Arabidopsis thaliana: one gene and its partners. The protein of the gene in region 1 purifies or fractionates together with the protein of each later gene. This does not show direct contact. Each region holds a gene or a part of one and is shown on either strand. Other genes may lie near its edges. The genes, in order: AT4G18330, EIF4E and AT4G39520.

Region 1 (7,700 bases):
TGCTTTCGCGGCTGCGAAACTAGGGTACCGTAACATAGAAGTTAGGGTTGCGGAAACAGGGTGGCCTTCAAAAGGAGATGTCGGAGAGATTGGAGCGTCTCCTGTGAATGCTGCCACGTATAACCGGAATCTTATGATGAGGCAATTCGCCGGAGAAGGAACTCCAGCGAGACGGAATGCAAGACTCGATGTTTATATATTTGCGTTGTTCAATGAAGATATGAAACCAGGTCCTACTTCGGAGAAAAACTACGGTATATTCCAACCAGATGGATCATTAGCTTACAATTTGGGATTCTCTACAATGTCGACAACGACGGCAAATTCAGAATCTGTCACTTATTCATCCTCTGCCACTAAGGTACGATTAGTATTATGTGGTGAATTTTGTTAGAATTTGGAATTATTGGGGCCACGACGAGAATAAGTTTGTGAAAGGACTAGATGTGCAAAATGAATTAATTCTCTGTTTTCTTCTTCTTTCAGGCAAAGAGGAGCTTGGAGTATTGGACAATTTTGATATTGGCGATGGTTCAAGTTGTAATGTTGAGACTATTTTAGAGGAAAAGTTATTGACAATATAATAACGCGATTGTTTAGGATATTTATGTAAACAATTTAATTATAAGCTTGATAAATATAATTTATATTCAATTCAACATTCAAATGAAGTCGGTCAATAGTGAAAATTCTAAATTTATTGTTGTCGTTAACAAGTAATTGACATATATAATAAAGAAACAAAGTTTACTTTTTAAGAAAAACTTGTCGTATATGAAAAGGTTTGAGTAAGTAGTAACTTTGACCAAAAGGCATATAATCGATAACCAGTAGCGGTTTAGAATCAACCATATATTTTTTTCCCTCTAATTCAAGAAATATGGCATAGCTTAATTCATTTGTATATGTTGTTGGATATTTTAAATACAATCCCTAGCTAGTTATATAATATAGATATTAGAATGCAAACATATGCATTGGAGTGGACGGTACGAAGAATTGGAACTGAAGCTAAGAAAAAAAAGCCATGAAACAAGAGCTTATGCTCACGATGCAAATTCACATGCTCATTTCCAATTATATCGGCTCAATATACTCCCTTGTTCTTGCCACAAACGATGCGTTTTGACCTTGAAAACATAGACACATATGCTTTTTTCTCTCCATATATTATTTTACCGATCAGTCAAGTTTAGTTTTATAGAATAAAATAATTCAGCTGCACGTAAGGAAAAATAAGTACTTTCTGAAAAATCAAAGGACACGAACAATCAAACATTAGTATGCAAATTATTTTCATACACTTGACCGTCAAAAATGCACTGATCAATGCACCGGTCATTCCGAACAAAAAAGAAAAAAAAATCTTTAAAAGATGAAAAATACAAAAGTGCGACGAGAGGAACAAAATCGTTTCACGTACGACGTATCGGCAACGATATCTAGGGTTGTGTAGAAAGATCGCAAAAGAGAGTAGTAGCGGAATTAGGGTTCTGGTTATGGCATGGAGATGAACCGGAAGGAGGTACGAATCCTTTGGGAAGCATAACCGAGAAAGTATCCTGTCGAACCGGACGGTTTAAACCGTTATTCTTCTTGGCCATCATCTTGAAGTAGCCAGCACGATGATGAAGACCACGGCGATGACGAAGAGTATGTCGATAGTAGTAGTAGTATTGGTGATTGTAACGACGACGACGGTGGTTGTCTCGTTGCAACCGCTGGTTCAAGATAAACGGTGTCGTTTTCTTGATGTAGACGAGTTGGTGCGGTGATTCGTAACCGTTGAGATAAGCTTCCGTTTTTTGTGTTGATGATACTCTTGTTTCTTGATTCGAAGATGATGATGATGGTGAGATGAGGAAGACGAGAGTGAGAATAAGAGAGACGATGAAGCTTTTTAGAAGACTCTGTTTCATCAAAACCAAATCTTCCATTGGGATTGAAAGAGAGTATAGGGTTTTGGCTGAGAGTAAGAGAGAGCGTAAAGATGAAACAAAAGCTCAGAACGAGGAGGGAATTAGAATTATATAATTCCTAATTAGTGATAAGTAATATCATTAATGAAATTATGAATTTGTTTTTTAAATTTTCGTCAATGTTGTGTTAAATATGAATATAGTTTTATATTGTAGTCGAAAGAAAGTGATTAAACATACAAAGGCACATGTTAATTATTTTTGAATGCAAACAATATAAAAAACTCATCACTACTTCATTAGAAAGGAGGAGGAGGAACATCGATGGTGGTTCCAGCCATAATCTGACCCTTACCAATTAGACGCCAATGCCTATCGACACGTCGGCTTAAAGCAACCTTCTCTCCTATGGTGGTACACACCGGAGACGTCAGTTGGAGTTTCACCATATCTTTCTTGACTCCAATAACCTTAGCTCCCGTAGACATAGACCCGATGTTCACCATCAATATCTCTTCTTTGGTTAGCTTTGACACTTTCATTTGCTTCTCTTTTTCCTTTGTCCTCACTCCAATGAGACGAGTCAGAAGCTGGTAACTTACTTCAAGCTCAACAAAGACGTCAGGGAGAGTACCCATTTCACCAAGGACTTGACCAACCAACCTATCAGCACGCGTAAGCGTAGGGTCCATGGTTGTTCCAACTCCGATTAGACCTCCCGGTACAGCAAACTGAAGCTCGTTCTGTTCCGCGTATAGTGAAGTTATACGCGAGTAAATTGGAGTGCATTTTGAGTTTCCATGCTCATCTTTGCCAGTGATACCAGGTCTAATTTCAATCAGTTGGTTCACTTTCAAAACACCCAAACAAAGAGAGACACATATTAATACTAAATTGTTTCACAGTCAGGTAAGAACAGAGGAGAAACAGAGAGATAAAAACATACCTGGAGGATACTTCCACCAGCAACACCACCTTTCATTTCATGACCCGCCGAGCCAGGTTTATTGACATCGAAAGAACGAATCACAATCATCTTTGGTGGTGACACAAAGTCTCTCACAGGGATTGGAATCTTCTTGACAATGTATTCACTCACAACATCAATGTTGTATTTCAGTTGTGCTGAGACAGGAACTATAGGTGCATCCTCAGCATTCGTGTTCTGCAACATTATATATGTGACAGAAAATATGAGAACCAAACTGATGAAGTCATGAAAGATTTAACAACAGAGAGATAAGAAAATTGATCAAACCGTTATAAATTTCTGAATAGCCTCGTGCTGTTCAGTGGCGGCTTTCTCATTAATGAGATCAATCTTGTTCTGAAGGATTATGATATGCTTAAGGCGCATCATATCAACAGAAGCAAGATGTTCAGCGGTTTGTGGTTGTGGACAACTCTCGTTAGCAGCAATTAGAAGTAAAGCACCATCCACGATTGCTGCTCCATTGAGCATTGTCGCCATAAGAATATCATGTCCCTGATGAATAAAAAACAACTCAGTTACATATAGCCAATGGTTCTAGTTTTGAGAGACAAAGTGTAAATTAAACTCATTAATACCGGACAATCGACACATGAGACATGTCTCCGTAGTGTCATCTTGCAATTCTCAAATCCGGGGACATCACAAGTTGGGTTGTCTTCTTTTCCACTCCCATATGACCTAAAATTAACAGATTAGCTGCTGCTACACATAATAACACTTAGCCTTATTATATCAAAAAGAAGATTATGACTCACTTGTAGCACATTGGTCTAGGGCACTTGTCATCCTCACACTTGTAAATCTTTGCATTTGCATAACCAAGCTTAATGGTAATGTTACGCTCTAATTCATTCTTAAAACGCACAGTCTGAACACCAGAGATAGCTTTCACTATAGTCGATTTACCGTGAGCGACATGACCAATGGTTCCTGAGATATATTTAGCACAGTATTGGTTTCTTTGACATCAAGTTATACTATAGACCTAGAGGAGCTGGCAAAAGCAGAGTGTAATTTACCGATATTTATGGTTGCTTGGCGAGAAATGACTTCAGGAAACAGAGGATGTAACTTTGTTACATCAAGCTTAGTTAGATCTTGCTCCGCCAAACCCTTGTTACGCGAAATTAACACAGATTGAACCATCTTTAATCCTGCTAAAACAACGAGATCAATGAAAATTCTGAAATCGATATTAGGGTTTATATACAAAACGATTTCATGCATACCTTGGTTTCTGTTCACAAAACACCACAATAATTTCGATACTCAGTCGATTCCGACAAACCTGAGTACTATAAAGTCTCGATTTTGTTTAATCAGTCTCTTACACTTTGTTGTCCGAAAAATGTTGAGCTCGCTCGATGACAGTTAAAGATTTGTAAGATTGGGGAAGAAGTTTACACGTGGAAGGTAAAAAATGTAGGGTTTTGTAAACCTTTTTTTCATTGCCTTATGATTAACTAGGCCCATTCTTATTATTAGTAAAACCATTAGCACCCAATACGGCCCAATATTGAAAACCTGTAAATTTAAACTCGAATTTGTAATCGGAGTTGAGTTTTTTTTGTAGAGGAGCCAAATAAGAGAACATCTTTTGTAGAATTTTTCATTTTACTCTTTGCTAAACAATTTTTTTAAAAAAAATATGTTTTACATATATTAACGAAGAGATGTACACCGAATTAAGAGTTCTTTGTTTGTCTATTAAGTTTAACGTAAAAATAAACAATAAAAGATCAGCATTTTTATAAACAAACCAAAGTAGAGTTTCTAACGAAACCACAATGAGTAGAGTTTGCAACACAATAAATAGAAATTAATACTAAAAATCTTAAACCACACAAATAAAAGATAGATAACGAAAACAATCACAGAGAAATAACTTAAAGAGTCAAGTGGTAGAACATTAGGCTAAGCGCGAACCTCAACCCAAACTCCGTCAGTGTAAGAAACGATTTGGTTGTTAGCACCCCAAGTGCGGTTTTTCACTCTCTCGCGATCAGTTTTAGTGCCGATAATGTCTAGAGTTTGTGGAAATATCTGAAGTCGATGTTTGATCTGATCAAAAGATTGGCCGTGGAAAGGATTCCATTCGATGGTATCATTCTCTTGAGTATTTGAGACATTCCAATTTTGGGTTCGGAAGGTGAAGTCAAGAGTATGGCCCCATAAAATAATTGATATTTTGTCCACAGATGGGGAGAGGGAATCTATAGTCGAACCACAAATTGGATGGTTGAAGGTAGGGATACGAGTCACTGACCAGTTCTGATCCCAGTCTCCGTTACTCTTGGCTACATAATATATTTGTCGACTAGGAGCATGCATATGCGCTATCACCATATGATTATTTTCGTGAAAGCTATCGGCTAGGAGACAAGCATAAGTGTTGTCTTGACGGGGATCTCCGGTGAGCACACCGTAACGGATCACACATGGGTTATCAGTGGTGAGAAGGGGTAGTTGGTACCGTTGTGAAGTGAACGGGTTGTATAAGAAAGCTTGGTGGTCTTGACGTCGGTGTATGGCACTGGAGTTGGACATAACAACCCAACCCAATGTTGATCCTAAGAATTTGGCCCCTTCAAGATATGGGTCTTTCCCATGATGTAGCTCCTCTCTCACAGGGTCATAGAAATGGGCAACTCGGGATCCCCTTTCACGGTACAACAACCACGGCCTTTCCTCTACGAAACCTCCTTCACGGAAAGAAAGAAATGTGTTCCTCCAATGAGTGTTGACACCTCTTAGTGCCCCACCTTCGGTAAAGTTAGGGTTAAGCAAATTTGTAGAACTTCTGAGGAGATCTTGAGGCAAACTTCCCCATGAATCCCTGCGAGAGAAACAAATTTGAGAGAAGTGAGATGAGAGCATAAACTATAAGAATTAACAAATAAGAACTGGAAGATTATTTTTTTTTTAAAGATGTTCTCAAAAATCCCTCCAAAAAATGAGATGAAACCAAGAAAAATAATTTTGAGAGAAATGAAATCTGATAGCAGAAGGCAGAAGCTATATATATGAGTTACGAAAAAATGGAAGAAGTTTTGTTGCTAGCTACATTTTCAAAAACAAAAATCATTGCAAGAAATGAGTTAATCTGTTTATGGAATGATAGCAAGAATATATTAAATTGTGAGTGGGAAGTTTGTTTAGATACATTTTGAAGAGATCGAGCAGTCTTTAAGTATTTCTTGTTTGAAGAGAGAAATTTCGTTTGAGAAATATAATAATGTGTGGCGTTGGAAGATCGAATGAAGAGAATACAAGTTTTATAGAAAAACTGAACCATAGCTTTAAGTTAAAAGTCAGGCTAGTATACTAAAACGAATATTTTCGTCAGAAATACATTAACACACACAATCCACTAAAATTAACAACAAAATAGATAACAAAATATGATTATGATTTCGTGCTTTCAATCTCATTAGTCATTATCACCATGGTGACGCGCTCTCCAGCCACCATATTTCCAAGCAATCTTATATTAAGTACTTAAGCTTTTTTAAGACTTGATCATAGCCGTCAATTTTTAAGTTTGTTACACTTTCTCTTCTTTTTCCGCGTACCCTAAGTCCATGTTATGAAGTTACCAAAGATGATAATAATGTTTTGCAGACGTAAGGACACAAAAGTAAAGGTTGAATTGGGAAATTTGGAATAACACCGTCACAAGTTAAGTTTCGTTTGACACTCACATTTAAATCTGCTTTACTCTATCTAATCTACAAAACGTTTCGTATGAATTCTTCTGATAGCCTAGTCAAACATATCTCTTGTACATACAAGTATACAACAAACCCTTGATAGATTGATTGATGGGAAATGTCGCAATCTCCAACAAAACAAACAAAAGATTGTTGATGATGCCAGTTAAATAACAGAGTACAATCTCTTAAATGTAAATCATCAACTTACAAAATAGGCTGTATAATGATATTACAATGCAACACATCTAAACTTACGTTTACCAATTTAACTATCTTCTTCTTGAAGAATTCCGCTTGAAGAATTCGACTTGAGAGAGGGATATTTGAGTATATAGTTTTATACTTGTAAATATTCTTTTTACTTCAACTTGATAGAGTATAATACTGGGTGTAACAATACATTTACAGCTAATGAGAAATGATTTGAACCTTGTAACAATACAATAACTCTTTTAGTTAAAAAAAATAGAAAATACATCTCTTGTATAATTTTTCATTTTACTATTTGCTAAACAAACATTTTTAAAAAAATTTGAACCTCCCTTTTTGGACGTTTTCTAATTACAGCTGCCTCTAATAAAAACAGTTCAAAGAAGAATTGACACTAATGAAAAATTCGACTTCTTTATATGGCAAAATCATATAGTTTTAAGGTAAGAGTAGGACCACCACTAGCATGCAATGCTTAATATCCATATTTAAAGATAGGAAAGACTTTCACACGATTTGTCAAGTACCATGTGACGACCAGGTGGATATACTTTTATCGAATAAAATCAAGAATTCAGTACTGTTTTCTTAATCTCAAGCGTCTTTTGTTGTCTATTACATGGACATGTTTAATTATTATAAATTCAAATTGCTGCATACACGTTGATTAATTTATTTGCACGATATGTTAGTTAATATACTTGTCTTAGATCGATGTTTTACATATATTAACGTAGAGCTGTACACCGAATTAAGAGTTCTTTGTTTGTCTATTAAGTTTAACGTAAAAATAAACAATAAAAGATCAGCATTTTTATAAACAAACCAAAGTAGAGTTTCTAACGAAACCACAATGAGTAGAGT
Region 2 (6,892 bases), 110 kb from region 1:
AGACAACGCAGCTTCTCATTATCAGGAGGACAATGTCTCTCTCTGTAAATCATGTTCTCTCTCGGGAACTTCATAGCTCGGTCTTGCTCTTGACAAGGCGTGTAATCCTTGAGCTTCACATCACACGGTTTGAAAGAAACAGGTTTGGGATCAGCTTTATGTGGGATCTTCACTGTGTTGTGATGAGGTTCAAAATCAAGATCAGTGACAATGTCAGTACACTGCGCTTGCTTTGTAATCTCCATAGCTATGCTATCTCCTTTACCAAACCCACTCTTTTGCCATGCTCCAAGAAGATAGAAGAAACAACATAAACCAACCACAACGAGTAGAGATAGTGTACTTCTCGATCTGTTATTCCCTGGTGGGTTATGCTTAGAACCCATGATTCTTTCTAATCTCCTGAAACCATTCCCAACAAATCACAAACTTGATTCTCAGTATAACGACACAACTTTGAGCTTAAACATCAAGATCTGTTAAAAAAGGATCTAGCTAATTCAAACTAATCAAAACCTAGCCTTTAACAATTGAAATCTAGAGTTTATGGATTCAAAAGACTAATCCTAACATAGAAAGATTCAAAGACCGTAACTTTAGCACTGAAATCGAAAACACAGAATCGGATCTCGTTGAAACAGAGCTAGAACACGAACTAACAGTAGAGAAAAATATTGAACCTGGTCGATGTAGATCTTGTTGAAGCAGAGAGACTCTAAAATTTCTCTTATCAGATCTCTCTGGTTTAAGCTCTTTTCAGTGATGAGCTTGCAGTAGCCAGAAAGTATAAAGCTTTGTGAGTGTGACAGAGAGAGAACTCACTTAAAATAATGTCTTCTTCTTCTTTGTCTTCACTAATTAAGATTTGATTTTTAACTTGAAGATGAAGGCGCGTTTGATTTTATTCAATTTCTATAAACAAAACATGTTGGAATTAAATGTGTGTAGTTTCGCAGCAAGATCTTCATAACAATATTATTACAATACTCAATAGATTTAGATCTAATCTGGACTGCACATGCATCCTTATGTTTATTTTTATTCAACCTCTTTTGTGTGCGTTTATATATATAAACCTATACTTTATTATTTTGCATATTTGAAGCTTTTGGGTAGTTGATTGTAGCTATTTAAAATCAATTTCAGATTATGGTTTAGCATAATTGGAAAACCTTTTGTTTATATATTAAAAAAGATCAAATCCATATGCTATAAGATTGCATAATAATAGAAAGGAAAATTTTATTTGTTGAAACGAGTGATGTATTATTATTAGCCGAAGAATCTTGTCGTCCCAAGTGGTCCTTTTCAGACAGTTGGACAATTTACATACTCGCTACTTAGATCTCCTACCGACACTCCCATTTCCTCTAAACCGGTCACCGTCAAAAACCGAGTTAATCGGTTCACACTGCTAAATAATCATTCCATTAAAATAAATGCTGAGGTGGATCTTTAAAACCTAAATTAAAAGGTTAATTATAAAGGATGTAAATGTGACAATGTAAAAGTAGTTTTCTCTAAAACCGGTTAAAGTCAATCGCTCATGAGTGTACATGGGCTCTTGTCAAGTAAACATATACACTATTCAGGCTTTTAAGGCCCGCCTTGGGTAGACAGAAGCACTGTTTGTCTGTAAAGCTTGCGCTCACTCCGGTGGTTTTATACAAGGGCACCAACGTAAATATTATGAAGAACCATACTAATATATTACTAAATGAAATGTTAGAGCTTCGTGAACAATCAACACTAGCAAAGACAGACTGTCAAGTCATGTTTAGATAAATAGAGATCTCTCACATACAAAACTGTAATTGAAACAATGCAAAGATTTGAGAGGTTTCAAGCGGTGTAAGCGTTCTTTGCATTCCTGTCGAGCTTCTTCGCATCCTCCTGAAAAAAAAAGAAACCAAACCAAACAATGAGAGATCTGAAGAAAATGAAGACTTTTGAATTAGAATTATGAGAAGCTTTCTTCTTACATGGATGATGAAACCTATGCTGTTGTTGTAATCGAGAAACTCCTTCCATTGTTTTCCAATGCTCACCTGCAACATTTGATGCAGACGAGAATTAAAGTCTTATTTTTACACAGAGAGACTGTTTGATGAGTTTTGATGAGAAAGGTCTTTTCTATTTACCTGAGCAGCTTCGTTTGAAGCATTTTTAGTCCAAATAGATATCCTTTCTTGCTTTCCTCTAATGTTGACAACTGCTCCACATATTTCATCTCCATGATCAAACTGCTCTCCAATCAATGCAAGCAACTAAACCAAGCATGTAAAAAGAAAAACCGGTGAGATTCAATTGGATGATGACGCAGGAGTTACGAGTCAAAATAAAAGAAGAATAGAAACCGTACAGTGTAGAGCCAGCTCTTATCAGACTTCTCCTTAGGGAAAGTCATAGTCCATTTTCCTCCATTAGCACAAATAGGATCCTCCCACTTAGGTTCAATGATGTGTTTGAAACAGTAGAAGTCAGCTCCGTGAGCTAACTTGCTCGGATGCTTCATGTTGTTGTACAAACTGCAAACCAAAATGTCTTTTAAAATAAGAAGTCGAAAGAACAATACACAAACCTATGAATCTCATTGGGAAGAGCAAGAACTATACAACATCAACCCTCAGTCATCACGAAAGTGTTTGCTCAAATTCTGATACCTAGAAAACCACTAAGAAAGATTTCAAAGTTGGTCTCTTTCTCTCACAAACTTTGCTCTTCTACTTTACTTCACAAACAAGTGAACAGAATATCAAAGCTAAACCCTAACATAAGCTTTAGCTACGAATTCAAACACCAAACATAGCAATTCATCAAAAACATATAATGACTTCAATGGGATCTTCTAATCCCCCAATAAAGAACATAACTTTCCTCAACAAATCGAAACCTATAACAAAACCCAGATGCAGAATAATTGAACAAACCAGATATTGAGTCGGAAATAAAATAAAATCAAAAACCTAACCTCCAAAATTCCTCAACAGTTGAAAACGTAAACACGGGTCGCAAGGAACTTCCCCAAGAGGTTTGTTTCGATTTCACAGCAGGATTATCGAACCAGAAAGTCCATGAATGTTCCAGAGGATGCGATTCAGGAACACCGGATTTGCTCGATTCGTCAACGTTTCCGTCTCCTTCTCCTCCGGCGATCTCTCCTTCTTCGGCATCATCACCTTCCTCATGGTATCGATCAATCGGATTCTCTATTGAATTAGGCTTAGCTTCTTCCGTTACAACAGATTTGGGAGTGTCTTCTACCGCCATTGTTTCTCCGAACTGCTTCTCTTTCTCTCTATCTCTCTGTCTATTACTCTTCTCCAAACTAATGTACTTCCTCTCGTAGGGTTAACTATGATACGACGTCGTTTTAATTACATACTTCTTGTCTTTTTTCTTTTTGGGCCGAAGAGATAACTTAACAACTATTATGGGCTTTAACTTGTCTCCGGCTCTTTTTGCTCTTAAAGGTTTTTCTAATGGTCGTGTTAGTTTGAAGTACATGTACTAAATTATGTTTGTTTTGTAGTCTTCAAAAAAATCAAATAATTTTAGTGATTAACGTTAATTCAAAATATGAAACGTGAAAATGTTTATAGACTGAATTTTTAGTCATTAGTTGATGAAATCAGTCACCAAAACTGGTTGCCAAATTCGATTATTGAATTACTAACCACATAAACAAACAACAAACTTTAGAATTGGTTGTTTTCGTTAGTTTGGTCGTTGATCGCTAGCAGCTACAAAAAAGTTAAGAAAACATGTTGTTATTGTCAGAACTGTAAAACGAACATGATCAGGTTTTTATATGCTTTCACAAAAGCATATAATATGATTATTAAGAAAATGTGAAGTATTTTGTAGACTGTCAAAAGTTTGAGAGATTTATATCTTATGGAAGTGTTAATAGCTTTTGACTATATAAGTGAGTTTGTCTTACCTTTCTATTTCTAAAGGTTGTGATCTGCCTGCCGCCCCATAATAGTATTTCTTTTAAGATATTAAATTGTTTATGTACCTAGTTTGGGTTAATTAATATATATAATATGTTAGACCAACAAGACAACTGGATTATATTCTAAATCTAAACAATATACAATTGTGTTTAAGTTCCGTGCATGTAAATTTAAAAGTTTAAATCAGTGGATATACCACGTACAGAAACAAAACGAAATTTCTTATATTCATTCCATTGGTTTTATCGGTCAAACGAAAGAAAGGAGAAAATAAAAAGATTTCATAATGTTTCGCAGTCGAATGTATTCTATTACTTCATAGTTGATAGAGACGTATAACTAAGTGAAGCTGGTTCTATTCCATTAACTGTCAGAATTTGTTTATTGTGCATCACTACTCACTAGTAACTTAGTAAGTAGTAACTAATTGTGCAGAATATACTCAAAAAAGTTATTCTCGACACCAGGAGAGACTATAAATATAGAGTTTGGTTTTTGTTTACATTTCTATGCTATATATTCTTTAGATTTTATAAGAAATAAGATTATTTGATTCGCTGCAAAAACATAATTGCATGGCTTGTCTATATGCCGTCAAACCAAGAATCTCGAATGTTAGTTATACACGTTTCAAATATATATTTGATATGAGTTATTCGAGAATATATTTATAATGATAGTACATACGTAATTCGAAAAGAATAAGTTTAAGTTTGCTTTAGTTGTCAACCATTCTTTATACCAAAAATAAATAAATTGTCAACCATTCTTTATACCAAAAATAAATAAATTGTCAACCATTCTTAATCTAACTTCTCAGTGCGTGTGATTTTTTTTTAAGCAGATGTAAGAAAGAAAAAGGTTGTCGACGTTAATCATGGCTCATGCAATGAATCAAATAAACTTATTTTATATTTATCAACATATTTTATATACGGGAGATTTTTCAAATCTATCGACTTTTTTGTTTAGCAACGAGCGCTTAATGATGGTCGATAGATCAAAGTTTGTCGCTAGTTGACGTTTTCTTTTGTAGTAAAGAACTGATCAACAGTTTTTTTTTTTCTTTTTTTTTTTGTAAAGTTTAGAAGTGACTGCCTGACTGGTATTGACGACACAAGTGATAATTGATAAATGATGAGTTTGGATCGTATGAATTGACTTGTATGGTAATATTGCATAACGCGTCATCGTTTCTCCCATTATTCTATAAAGATTAGAATCAAAATCTCTTTTTAATTTCTTTTCAACTTTTAAAAAATTAACATTAATATTTACTTTTGAAAAGAAAGTAAACTTACAAAACATGTCCAAAGAACAGAGAAAATTTGAATCCATAATTGATGTACATTCTTTTTATGAAAAGATATGTAAGACTTACATAGAGTATATATAATTTAAATTGTAAAAAGAAATTTAAAGGAAATGGAAAACAAGGTTAATGCATACTTTGCTTCATCTTTTTTTATTAATCACTTTTATCAAAAATATATAAATTAATCACTATATTCTTTGGGTTTTCTTTTCCTTGACACTGTCATGAACATTTATGCGCTATACATGTAATCATTTCACATCAAATTGTCACTGATTAAGTTCACTCGAATATAATTGTCACTGATTACGTAATCATTGGTGAATGATGATGCCCAAGGAAGCAAACTTGTCTCTTATCTGGTGTTTATATTTGTTTGAAGTTATCTCATAACAACAACTCGATGCCAGAAAATTTTATGCCACAACAACAACTAAAATTATAGCTTGAATCTATCAATGAGCGGTGAACTATCCGTATGGCCCGTGCTTGGGAGATATATACCTAAGTAAGTGTTGTTTGATTATAAGAATTATTTCTCTTTGATATATATCGTACACCACATGATTTATATTACTCATTTCCTTTCATTATGCACATTTTATACAATTTTCACACATTAAAAACTATAAATTCATCTTATAATTAACATTTATGATATGCAATTTCATTTTATTTCATTAACTAAGAAAGCAAAAATTAAACAGAAAAGTTTGGAACTTAATTTTTAAAATATACATTGAAAAATATTTTTTGTTAAAGTATATAACAACATTTATTATGAAAAATGGAGTAATACTTAGAGAACACTTATAAGTTATCAACTATACACATATATACCATCTTTTCCAAAAGCAAGTTTTCACACAAATTTGCGGATATAAAGATGTTTGATTCTCCACTAAGGATTATCCTTAATCCATATGACTAAATTATTTTTAATATGATTCTTGTTAACTCTAAACCAATCAATTAATATGCCGACAAAAAAAAAGACCAATCAATATTATATTATACGTGTACTTTTTAGGCTTTTAGCTTCCCATCTTAATAACAAAAGTAGAACATTTACACCAAAAACAAAACAAAACTAGAACATAATAAGTGAATACAAAATTAAGCAAATAAAGAGTGTAACAGTTATATTATTATTTAGTTTGCTATCTGAACAAAACATTTAATTAGTCACATATCTTTGGTGGAGCCGAACGGAATAAACTATGGTCAAAGTTTGGGGGGAATTCGGAATTTCCGAATCGATAAATATTATTGGAATATATATTGGAAAGGTCGCTTGAAGACTACATTATGTTCTTATATTATTACATGCTTTTCTACATTAAAATGTATCTAGTATTTTGTTCCGGCTAATCTCCTAAAGTAAAATATACTTTTTGTTTTGGTCAATTTACTTAATGCCTAATTGATCAGAATTTATTATTCCGGCGGTTTGTATTTCATTGATGTGTTACGTGTACTAGTTAATACTGATTTTCTCTTATTTTATCCATTCAAATATGAGATGATATATATTGTTAAAAAAACAATAACTAACGTTTAATTTCTTAAAAGCTCTAACAACATCATAAGTCATAACGCAAACGTCAAAGAGAATAAT
Region 3 (8,680 bases), 8.2 Mb from region 1:
CTCATTGATTCATACAACGCCGCATGTAAGTAGACCAACTTGTCTAAGTTCTCTTGGCCATTTCTTCCGTCTTTTGAAATATTTTTGTCGATGATCTCTTTACGAATCTTTGTTACAACTTGAGGGTTTTCAGAGAGAAGCCAAAAAAACCAAGAGAGAGCAGAAGACGTTGTGTCTCTCCCAGCAAGATTGAAAGCTAAGATGGTGTCTCTGAGGAACTTATCATCACTCGGGTTCAAGAGCTCGTACTTGGTTGTATCAAGCTTTATGTGAGATGTCAAAAGATCCTCACTTTCACCATTTGCATGATGATCAATCCCCTGTGACCTTATCTCTTCTCTCTTAGCTAATATGTATTTCGCAGAAACGCGATCAAAAGTGGCATCAGCTTCAGTCATCCTCTTCTCTTGCCCTAACCCAAACCGGTTTTGCAGCTTCCAGAAGAACTTCGGTTTAATGTGCCTATAAAAAATCCCTTCTCCAAGATCGTCAAGAGCTTTAGCATACTCCACTTCCGGCATTTCAATAGAGAGAGATTTAGGATCAAACCCGGTAACAATAAAGAAAGTTGTATCAAAAGTGAATCTTTGAAACACTTGCTGCAAATCCACGACCTTCTCTTCCTCACAACATTGATTGAAAAGAGGAACAAGACCATCGTAAAGCTTACTCCTCGTTGCACTCAATGATAGCTTTTGAAAGCCTTGATGATTAAGCATGAATTGAGCAGCTTTTCTTTGATTCTTCCATAGCTCCGAGTCCGAACTAAAGATCATTTCTCCAAAAACATCAAAGACTTCTTTAAAGTCGGCACCTTTGGTATAGTTGGAGAAGTTTGAGCTCAATATGTAGTGAATATTAGCTGGATCAACTGTGAACAACATATCCATTTCAGCGAACCACGGTCCCTTAAATAGAAAGGTTAAGTGGCTCATTTCAAGAGCCTCCACGCCGAAGTTGTAGATGCGGTGGAGAACCATCAGGAAGCCTGGAAGCATCCCAATAACTGGCCAGTTTCGAAAAACCTGACCATGAGGTTTCTTGAAGTACATGTAATAGAAGAAGAAAAGGCAAATGATGGCTATGGCAACGTCAAGTAAGCTTACAGAAGCCATATGAGAGAGTTAGGAGCTTGGTTTACAGACACAATATGGTGGTGGTTCCTTTTGTGTGTTGAAGGAACTTGTTTATATAGAGTAAGATTATTACATATATAAATTAGCAACCAACAAAAAGAAAATTTATTAAAAAAGAAAGAAATTACCAATGCATTCATTCAACTGCTTTTCATATCTTAAGAATTAAGATTAGTGAAAGTGTTAAGCTGGTGAAGCTACTAACCACACAAATGGATGAGACAGAATTGGTGGAGGACTTGTAAAGAAGGGTCCATAATCTTACAATTTCAGACACTAAATGACAAACCAACTTTAAGAGGATAGACAAATCGAGAAGTGCATCAGAATTCACGGTCCCAGACACTGCAACGAAGGTCGTTGTAATAGTTTTCCAAATCTATTAATGTCATTAAATTTAATCAACAGTCCAAGTAACAACTAACTGTCAGAAATAATAACACCTCGACCTGGTCAGTGCAATGAAGGCCGTTTTAACAGTTTTTCTTTATTACATGAAGAAAAACTGAATCATATGTTTAGTAAATAAAATCCAAAAAAGTCTAGTTGCATACATAAAAACAAGGGAGGAGAAAATCTAGGCAAACCCATACTGGAGATAATAGGAGGTGTTCCGACAACATCAATCACATGCTTAATAGTATTATTGGAAGAAGACAAAAGTATCTAATAAGACATAAAAAAGGGTGTAGACACAGATTTCGTCTGGATATAATAATACAATTACAAAAGAAAGATAAAGCTGAGAAACCAAAAGAAATCCTGACCTTCCTATAGGAGATCTCATTATGGCTACTTTGGTTGGTCTCTTGACTGCTCTCCATTATCTGCAAAAATCATATCTTTTTAACGATCTGAACAACATCCTCGTCCTCAAGCTCGTGTTCCTGAAGTATAAAATACGATGTCGAGACAGCAATAGTTAGTTAGTCAGGGATATTGCAATATCGATTTACCAGATTAACTTTTGTTTGATTTGCTAGAAGAACTAACCTTTCCAACTCTTTGTGGCTTGTGTTTGGCACTTGAACCCCAAACCAGAGCGCTGTATCAGGAGATCATTAGTTAAGTATTCATGAGCGATGCTTTTGAGCAAGAACCATATAACAGAGAAAAGAAAAATGTTAAGGATTTTAATTACTTACTACTTGAATTGTTTAAGCATGTCTTTGTGAATCCGGATGCAGAAGTCCTCTACTGTTCTCTTCTTGGATGATAAGATTACGGGATCATCATAATCCGGATTCATTGCCTTTGGTTTTGTGTAGATTCGAGTTAGATCCAAGTATTCCCATATCTTGTCCAGAAGTCCATCAAGATTCCACTCCAGATGCGCACTGCAAGATAAATAAATTTATATCTTAATGGCAAAAGTAAACAAGTTTATCGCAAATCCTGCCGGTAATTTAACAACATTTACCTGACAGGACAGTAATGAGGAAGTTTGTCCAAAATTTCAAGTTCCTCAAGTGTGATTGAATCGATCTTGTTGACAGCATAGATACAGGGCATATAAATCCGACTGCCCTCGATGACATCAATGAGGTCATCAGCGGTTGCATCGTAGCGCAGGGTGATGTCAGCATTGTGCATCCTGTACTCACCGCAAATCGCCTTGACGGTGTCAAGGTCAAGGTGTGTGACAGCGACTGTAGAAGTTAGATTGATACCACCTTTGTCTTTTTTCCTAAATGTTAAATTTGGTGGCTCCTTGTTCAACCTACATAGCAACAGTCCATGATCGAGTCAGACTATCTACCAGAAACGATCAAATATACAGTGTATAAAGGTTGTTATATAAACAATCTATACCTTATTCCGAATCCTTCGAGCTCTTTTTCAATGAGACGCTTGTGAGTAATTGGTTTTATGGCATCAAGAACTATTAAGATGCAGTTGCATGTCCTAGCCGTACTTATAACCTGGAAATAGTAAAGTGTGAAAGATGATCAAAGAGGGTCAAAATATAAAATACTCAAGAGATTTAGACTCGACTTACCTGTCTTCCTCTACCTTTTCCATCTTTAGCACCCTCAATAATACCAGGAAGATCTAATAACTGCAAACACATAGAAGGGGACATAAAAAAGAGTATTAGCATCAGTGTCCAATGAATAATTACAGGTCGTTTCCTGACTTAAACTAAGTACCAAGAAGTCATTAAAAGATCAAGCAAGATACATGTTTAATATAGAAGTAAGACTCGAGAAAAGATAATTACAAGCTAGGACATGGCATATGTAGCCAAGGATTTCATTGTGTTTCAACAATTACCAAGACAGAGGAAACACTATCCAAGAATTATCATTTTTCCCCCACAAATAACAGATTAACACAGACGCATAGATGTAGATACCATACCTGGATTTTAGCTCCACGATATGTGATAACACCAGGAATGCATGTCAAAGTCGTGAACTCATAAGAAGCAACCTGAGAAAACATTGTGTATCACAGTATGTACCTTCAGAAAATTGAGTATCAGCCAAAATACAGTTCTAATTCCAAGATTTATGTTCATCTATCCAGGAAAAGACTAGCGCCGAACAGTCTTGCCTTATAAGTGATATTGCACAGGAAGTTGGTCAAAAAGTAACTAGAAATAGGATGCCATGGATACGTGGTAGGTTTCAAAATTCCAATTACAACAAGAGAAAGGAAGTTCAATATTCGTAACGATAACTACAAACCTCGGAAAATGTCCCAGTCAGCTTGTTTAATAGCGTAGATTTTCCAACCGAAGGAAATCCGACCAGTCCAACTCTAGAATCTCCACTTTTAGTCACATCAAAACCTTCTCCAGCACCACCACCGCCACCTTTGGTAGGCGGTGCAAGAAGGTCCCTCCGAAGCTTAGCAAGCTTGGCCTGCAAAATGGACCAGTGAAATATGACGAGAAGCTAATGGTGCAGGAATAAGTACCAAATTCTAAAATCAATACAGAATAATATATAATGCCTGCCTAGTAGTTGTTTGATCCAAGGAACTTCACAAGAGATCATGCCGTAAATAAAATATCTCAGCTTTGTGCTTATTCAATGATTTGGGAGTTCGTATAAAACATAAACGATTTCAACCAGAAGTTAAAATATTTCTTAATGAGCTTGCTTACTGGTTGGGATTTCATGATAGCTTTTATCAAGTATCAAAACAGATATAAACCAATCAACCAAATTTGCATTTGATAAGCAAAAACACCTCAACCAATCAACCTCACTCTCAAAGCTACAAAAAACGACCTAAAGAGGAGAAAAAATGTACCTTTAACAAACCCAGATGATGAGAAGTAGCTTTATTCTTCTGTGTTTTAGCCATCTGCCACATAAACAAAAAAAACCTCGTACTTGTGAGTCACCCAGATTGAAAAATCATTTCTTTGATTCAGAATAGATATTTCGGATTCACAGTTCTATGCATCCAAAATTGAAGAGAAGAGGTGAAGAATCAGAGAGGATTGAATAATTACCTCATCTTCAATTTCTTTGATCTTCTGCATAATAGTCGACATGGTTGCAGTCAAAGCACAGAGAGCTCACGGAGACAACGTCAAGGAAAAGAGGTTATACGCGAGTGAAAGGAAGAAGGACACCGGAATCTCTGATGCAGAGAAATTGACGACGACGGACGAGACAGAAGCAGAGGAATCCCGAGGGTTTTCGTTTCGTCCACCTGATTACGACAAAGGAGAAAAAACTAGAACAGAACTGTCTAGAATTCGGCCTGACCCAACAACATTTTAGGCCCATATATGTCCGATTTGGTTTTCCGGTTTAATAAAATTTACAACAGAATGAGAATTTAGTTTGGTTATATACAATAAACCCTGTTCTGAATTTTTGTTTTGTTTTGTTTTGAATTGGTGTTTTTCGGTTTTAGTTGATTTCAAAAACGGTTTAACTAAATTCAAATGAATCATGTACAACATACCATTCATGCATTCACCATTACAACTTCTCTCTCAACCCGGTTTTAGGAGATGATGAGAAGAAACTGAGAACTGAACCGGGGTTAATTTTTGAGTCTTCCTTCGGATTTGAACGGAACAGAATCGATTTTCCCTTGATTACAAAACTTAATAGCAACATCTTTGCTCTCCTGAGCTAGCTACCCCTTCAGCTTCTCGATATTAACCATGGCTTATTCTTTCTTCTTTGGCTCGCTTTTAAGCTTCATCTGCTGCATTGGTCTTTAACCAAATAGAGTCCATCACTCCAATAGAAAATGAGTTCTTGTATGGTAGTTATTAACTAACTCCTCTGATCTGCACAAGTAAGTCGTCTAACACTTCATAAATTTGATTAGCCTTGCAGTGAGATTTATCCTTAGACAAAAATATATGAACCTCCTTATTAATCCCAATCCAACTACGTCCAGGTTCTTTCACCACACCTTCAACCTTCATTCTTTCTCTCACCTTCTTAGCTTCAGTCCACATACCCTTGGACGCGTAAATATTAGAAAGCATAGTAAACGATCCACTGTCCTTGGGATCAGACAAAATAGCCATTTCAGCAGCATGTTCAGCTAACTCGACGTTACCGGCCTTTGCGCATCCACTCAGCAAGCTCCTCCATACTATAGCAGCTGGTTTTGTCGGCATTTTCTCAATTAACTCCCTTGCTTTGTTCAATCTACCAGCACGGCCTAAAAGAGATACCATACAAACATAGTGCTCAGTTTCAGGTTCAATTCCAAATCGAAGCATTAACTCAAATTGCTTAAGTCCATCTTCTACAAGACCAGCATGGCTACACGCTGATAGAACTCCAACAAAGGTGATGTAGTTAGGCTCTATTCCCTCACTCATCATTTTTTCAAGCATCTGAAGAGCCTTTTTGCCTTCTCCATGATTCGCATAAGATGAGATGACAGAATTCCAACAAACTACATCTCTTGAAGCTGCTGAATCAAAAGCCTTATGAGCGTCTTCGGGACTACCACATTTGGCGTACATATCTAGTAGAGCATTTGTAATATACGGATTACATTCCAAGCCTCTTTTCAGAAGCTGGCAATGGAACTCTTGACCCAATTGAACACTTGCTAGGTTGCCAGCTGCTGTAACCATGTTGGCAAACGTGAATTCGTCAGGTCTTTCTCTTGATAACTGTAATTCCAGAAACAGGTTGAGAGCTTCTTCGTTCTCTGATTGTTGAACATAACCTGCAAACATAGAATTCCAGATAACAAGATCTTTCACTTTCATTTCATCAAACACAAGCCTGGAATCCTTGAGGCAGTAGCAATTTGAGTAAACATCAATCAAAGCGCTTCCAGCAAATATATCTAAGTTTAACCCATATTTGAACATCAATCCATGGATTTGTTTACTCAGTCCCAAGCTTGTTAAAGAAGCAGATGCACGTAGAAGGCTAACAAAAGTCAATAGGCTAGGTCGAATCAATCTGAACCTCATGTCACGAAAGATGTTCAATGCTTCATGTAGTTCCCATTGTGTCCCAAGTCTCGAGTAACCTTCAATCATTGCATTGAATAAAACCACATCAGCAGCAGCGAAAATATCAAAAACTTTTCTGGCATCGGTCAAACAGTCACATTTCGCATACATGTCAATCAAGCTGTTAGTCACATAGCTATCATTGCCAAGATTGGCTTTGATAGTGTAAGCATGAACTTGTGTTCCAAATCCCAAAGCATGAAGTGAGGCACAAGATGTGAGTATGCTAGAGCAAGCATACATATCCGGCTTTAAACCAAACTTTGACATACTGGTAAACAATTCCATGGCTTCTTTATGAAGAGCGTTCTGCTTATAACCAGAGAGCAAAGTGGTCCACGAAATGATGTTTTTATTCGGCATTCCATTGAATAGCTTATGAGCCGCTATAACTCTGCCACACTTCACATAAGAATCTATAAGCACATTCATCAGTGAGGCATCCATCTCAAGTCCATATCTTAAGATGTGCGCATGAATCTGCTTCCCACCTTCAAGAAACGGAAGTATTGAACATGCACTTAGAACCGTCGAAAGGATGTAGCCATCTGGAACAACATTGTCTTCCATTAGTTGGTAGAACAGCTGTAATGAAACGTAGCTTCTTCCCATTTTTACACACCCACTGATCATGGTCGTCCAAGTCACAGTAGATTTCTCTGGTAAAGCATCAAACACAAGCCTCGCATAATCGATATTACCATCCTTCAAATAAAAATCAATCAACAAGGTACCAACATAAACATCCCTATCAAACCCACTCTTGACAAGAAAACTTTGTAGTTGAAACACCATCCAACGCCCACGACCATCTAAGCCTGAGCAAGCTTGAATAAAACTCGACAAAATATATTCATTCGGACTGTCTTTTCTAGTTCTCCAGAACTCTAAGAAAACCACCAAAGATTCCTCATAAATCCCATGATGGTTGCAAGCTGAAACCATGGTAGACCAAGAAACTAAGTTTCTCTCAGGCATTTTCTCGAACACCTTACGTGCATAAACCATACCACCAGCTCTCGAATACAAATTGATCAAAATGTTGCTAAGATACGTATCTAACTCGAGGCCCCAAACAATAATCTGACCATGAACTACATTTTGATAATGCAACAGATCATCTGACGCACGCAGCTGCAAGAGACGAGCAAATTCGCGCCTTCCTCGGATTCCTATCGTAGAAGGAAAATCTGCGTTTACAAATTCCAAAAGACTTGAAGCAGAAGAAGATGAAGAGGAGTATAAACGTATGGTTTCTTGGACTTTACGCCAACAGCGATAGCTTCTCATCCTCCTGAGTGAGAAGAACAGAGCGTGCTGTGACGAATAAACATGCTGCCGTTTTTTGTCATAAGCGAAGAAAGGGTGATGGAACTAATAAATAAAACGGCAACCAGTTATACTACCAAACATCAAAACGACAGGTGGCTGATGATATTGGATGATTTAAGTTTTTTGGTTAGGTTTGGTCGAAAAACAAGAACGGTAGATTTTGATGGCCCGGCATGTTACATTGCGTGGGCCATCCTTTAGCAACATATGTTGAATTTTAATTCCACGTTTCACCTACCAATATTCCTATTTGGACGACATTAAATATTCCTATTTTATACATCATTCTGCTAATAAATCTTGAAATTTGTAAAATATTTACATTCATTTATGGTTAGTAAATACTCCCTCCGTTCCACTAAGATGAATTTTTTAGAAATTTCACATTCTTTAAGAAATATTGTATAAAAATAATTTTAACCTCTTAATATACTTTAAAAATAATAATAAATATTTATCTAATTATTTAGTAAGGATAAAACGGGAAAACAGTTTTAAAATTTGCATTGGAAATATAAAACTTCTATTTTTGTAAGACAAATATTTTTCCTAGAAAATTTCTCTTTATGGGACAGAGGGAGTAATTATGTTTTATATATATCTAGATTTTATGATTAAGTTTAATAAGAAGACAGATTTTAGAAATTTCATCCTTAGTTTACAGAGAAATTCTATCCATTCAAATCTGTAAACATTGGAAAGAATACGAATCAAGATCATTTGAGATACTCACAATATGAACAGTTGTCACATA

What was found.
Region 2: the proteins of AT4G18330 (region 1) and EIF4E fractionate together in Arabidopsis thaliana (co-fractionation; one large-scale study listed by BioGRID). This does not show direct contact.
Region 3: the proteins of AT4G18330 (region 1) and AT4G39520 fractionate together in Arabidopsis thaliana (co-fractionation; one large-scale study listed by BioGRID). This does not show direct contact.

The regions. Positions count from the first base shown.
Region 1 is NC_003075.7:10,123,106-10,130,805, reverse strand, and holds AT4G18330 (Translation elongation factor EF1A/initiation factor IF2gamma family protein), read right to left. Parts: upstream 4,228-7,700; 5' UTR 4,143-4,227; intron 4,071-4,142; 5' UTR 4,060-4,070; coding exon 3,933-4,059; intron 3,844-3,932; coding exon 3,669-3,843; intron 3,592-3,668; coding exon 3,489-3,591; intron 3,406-3,488; coding exon 3,178-3,405; intron 3,085-3,177; coding exon 2,866-3,084; intron 2,783-2,865; coding exon 2,219-2,782; 3' UTR 2,072-2,218; downstream 1-2,071. Other genes in the region: AT4G18340 (Glycosyl hydrolase superfamily protein), read left to right, coding at 1-361, 487-561; AT4G18335 (uncharacterized protein), read right to left, coding at 1,443-1,937; AT4G18320 (uncharacterized protein), read right to left, coding at 4,828-5,790.
Region 2 is NC_003075.7:10,014,882-10,021,773, forward strand, and holds EIF4E (eukaryotic translation initiation factor 4E), read right to left. Parts: upstream 3,352-6,892; 5' UTR 3,271-3,351; coding exon 2,972-3,270; intron 2,529-2,971; coding exon 2,363-2,528; intron 2,268-2,362; coding exon 2,142-2,267; intron 2,049-2,141; coding exon 1,983-2,048; intron 1,894-1,982; coding exon 1,843-1,893; 3' UTR 1,649-1,842; downstream 1-1,648. Other genes in the region: AT4G18030 (S-adenosyl-L-methionine-dependent methyltransferases superfamily protein), read right to left, coding at 1-386. UniProt on the Arabidopsis thaliana protein: Component of the protein complex eIF4F, which is involved in the recognition of the mRNA cap, ATP-dependent unwinding of 5'-terminal secondary structure and recruitment of mRNA to the ribosome.
Region 3 is NC_003075.7:18,369,357-18,378,036, forward strand, and holds AT4G39520 (GTP-binding protein-like protein), read right to left. Parts: upstream 4,884-8,680; 5' UTR 4,645-4,883; coding exon 4,603-4,644; intron 4,452-4,602; coding exon 4,398-4,451; intron 4,004-4,397; coding exon 3,827-4,003; intron 3,570-3,826; coding exon 3,498-3,569; intron 3,196-3,497; coding exon 3,136-3,195; intron 3,059-3,135; coding exon 2,949-3,058; intron 2,857-2,948; coding exon 2,557-2,856; intron 2,474-2,556; coding exon 2,282-2,473; intron 2,182-2,281; coding exon 2,130-2,181; intron 2,024-2,129; coding exon 1,973-2,023; 3' UTR 1,509-1,972; downstream 1-1,508. Other genes in the region: CYP96A12 (cytochrome P450, family 96, subfamily A, polypeptide 12), read right to left, coding at 1-1,115; AT4G39530 (Tetratricopeptide repeat (TPR)-like superfamily protein), read right to left, coding at 5,380-7,884. UniProt on the Arabidopsis thaliana protein: Binds GDP and GTP, and has low GTPase activity in vitro.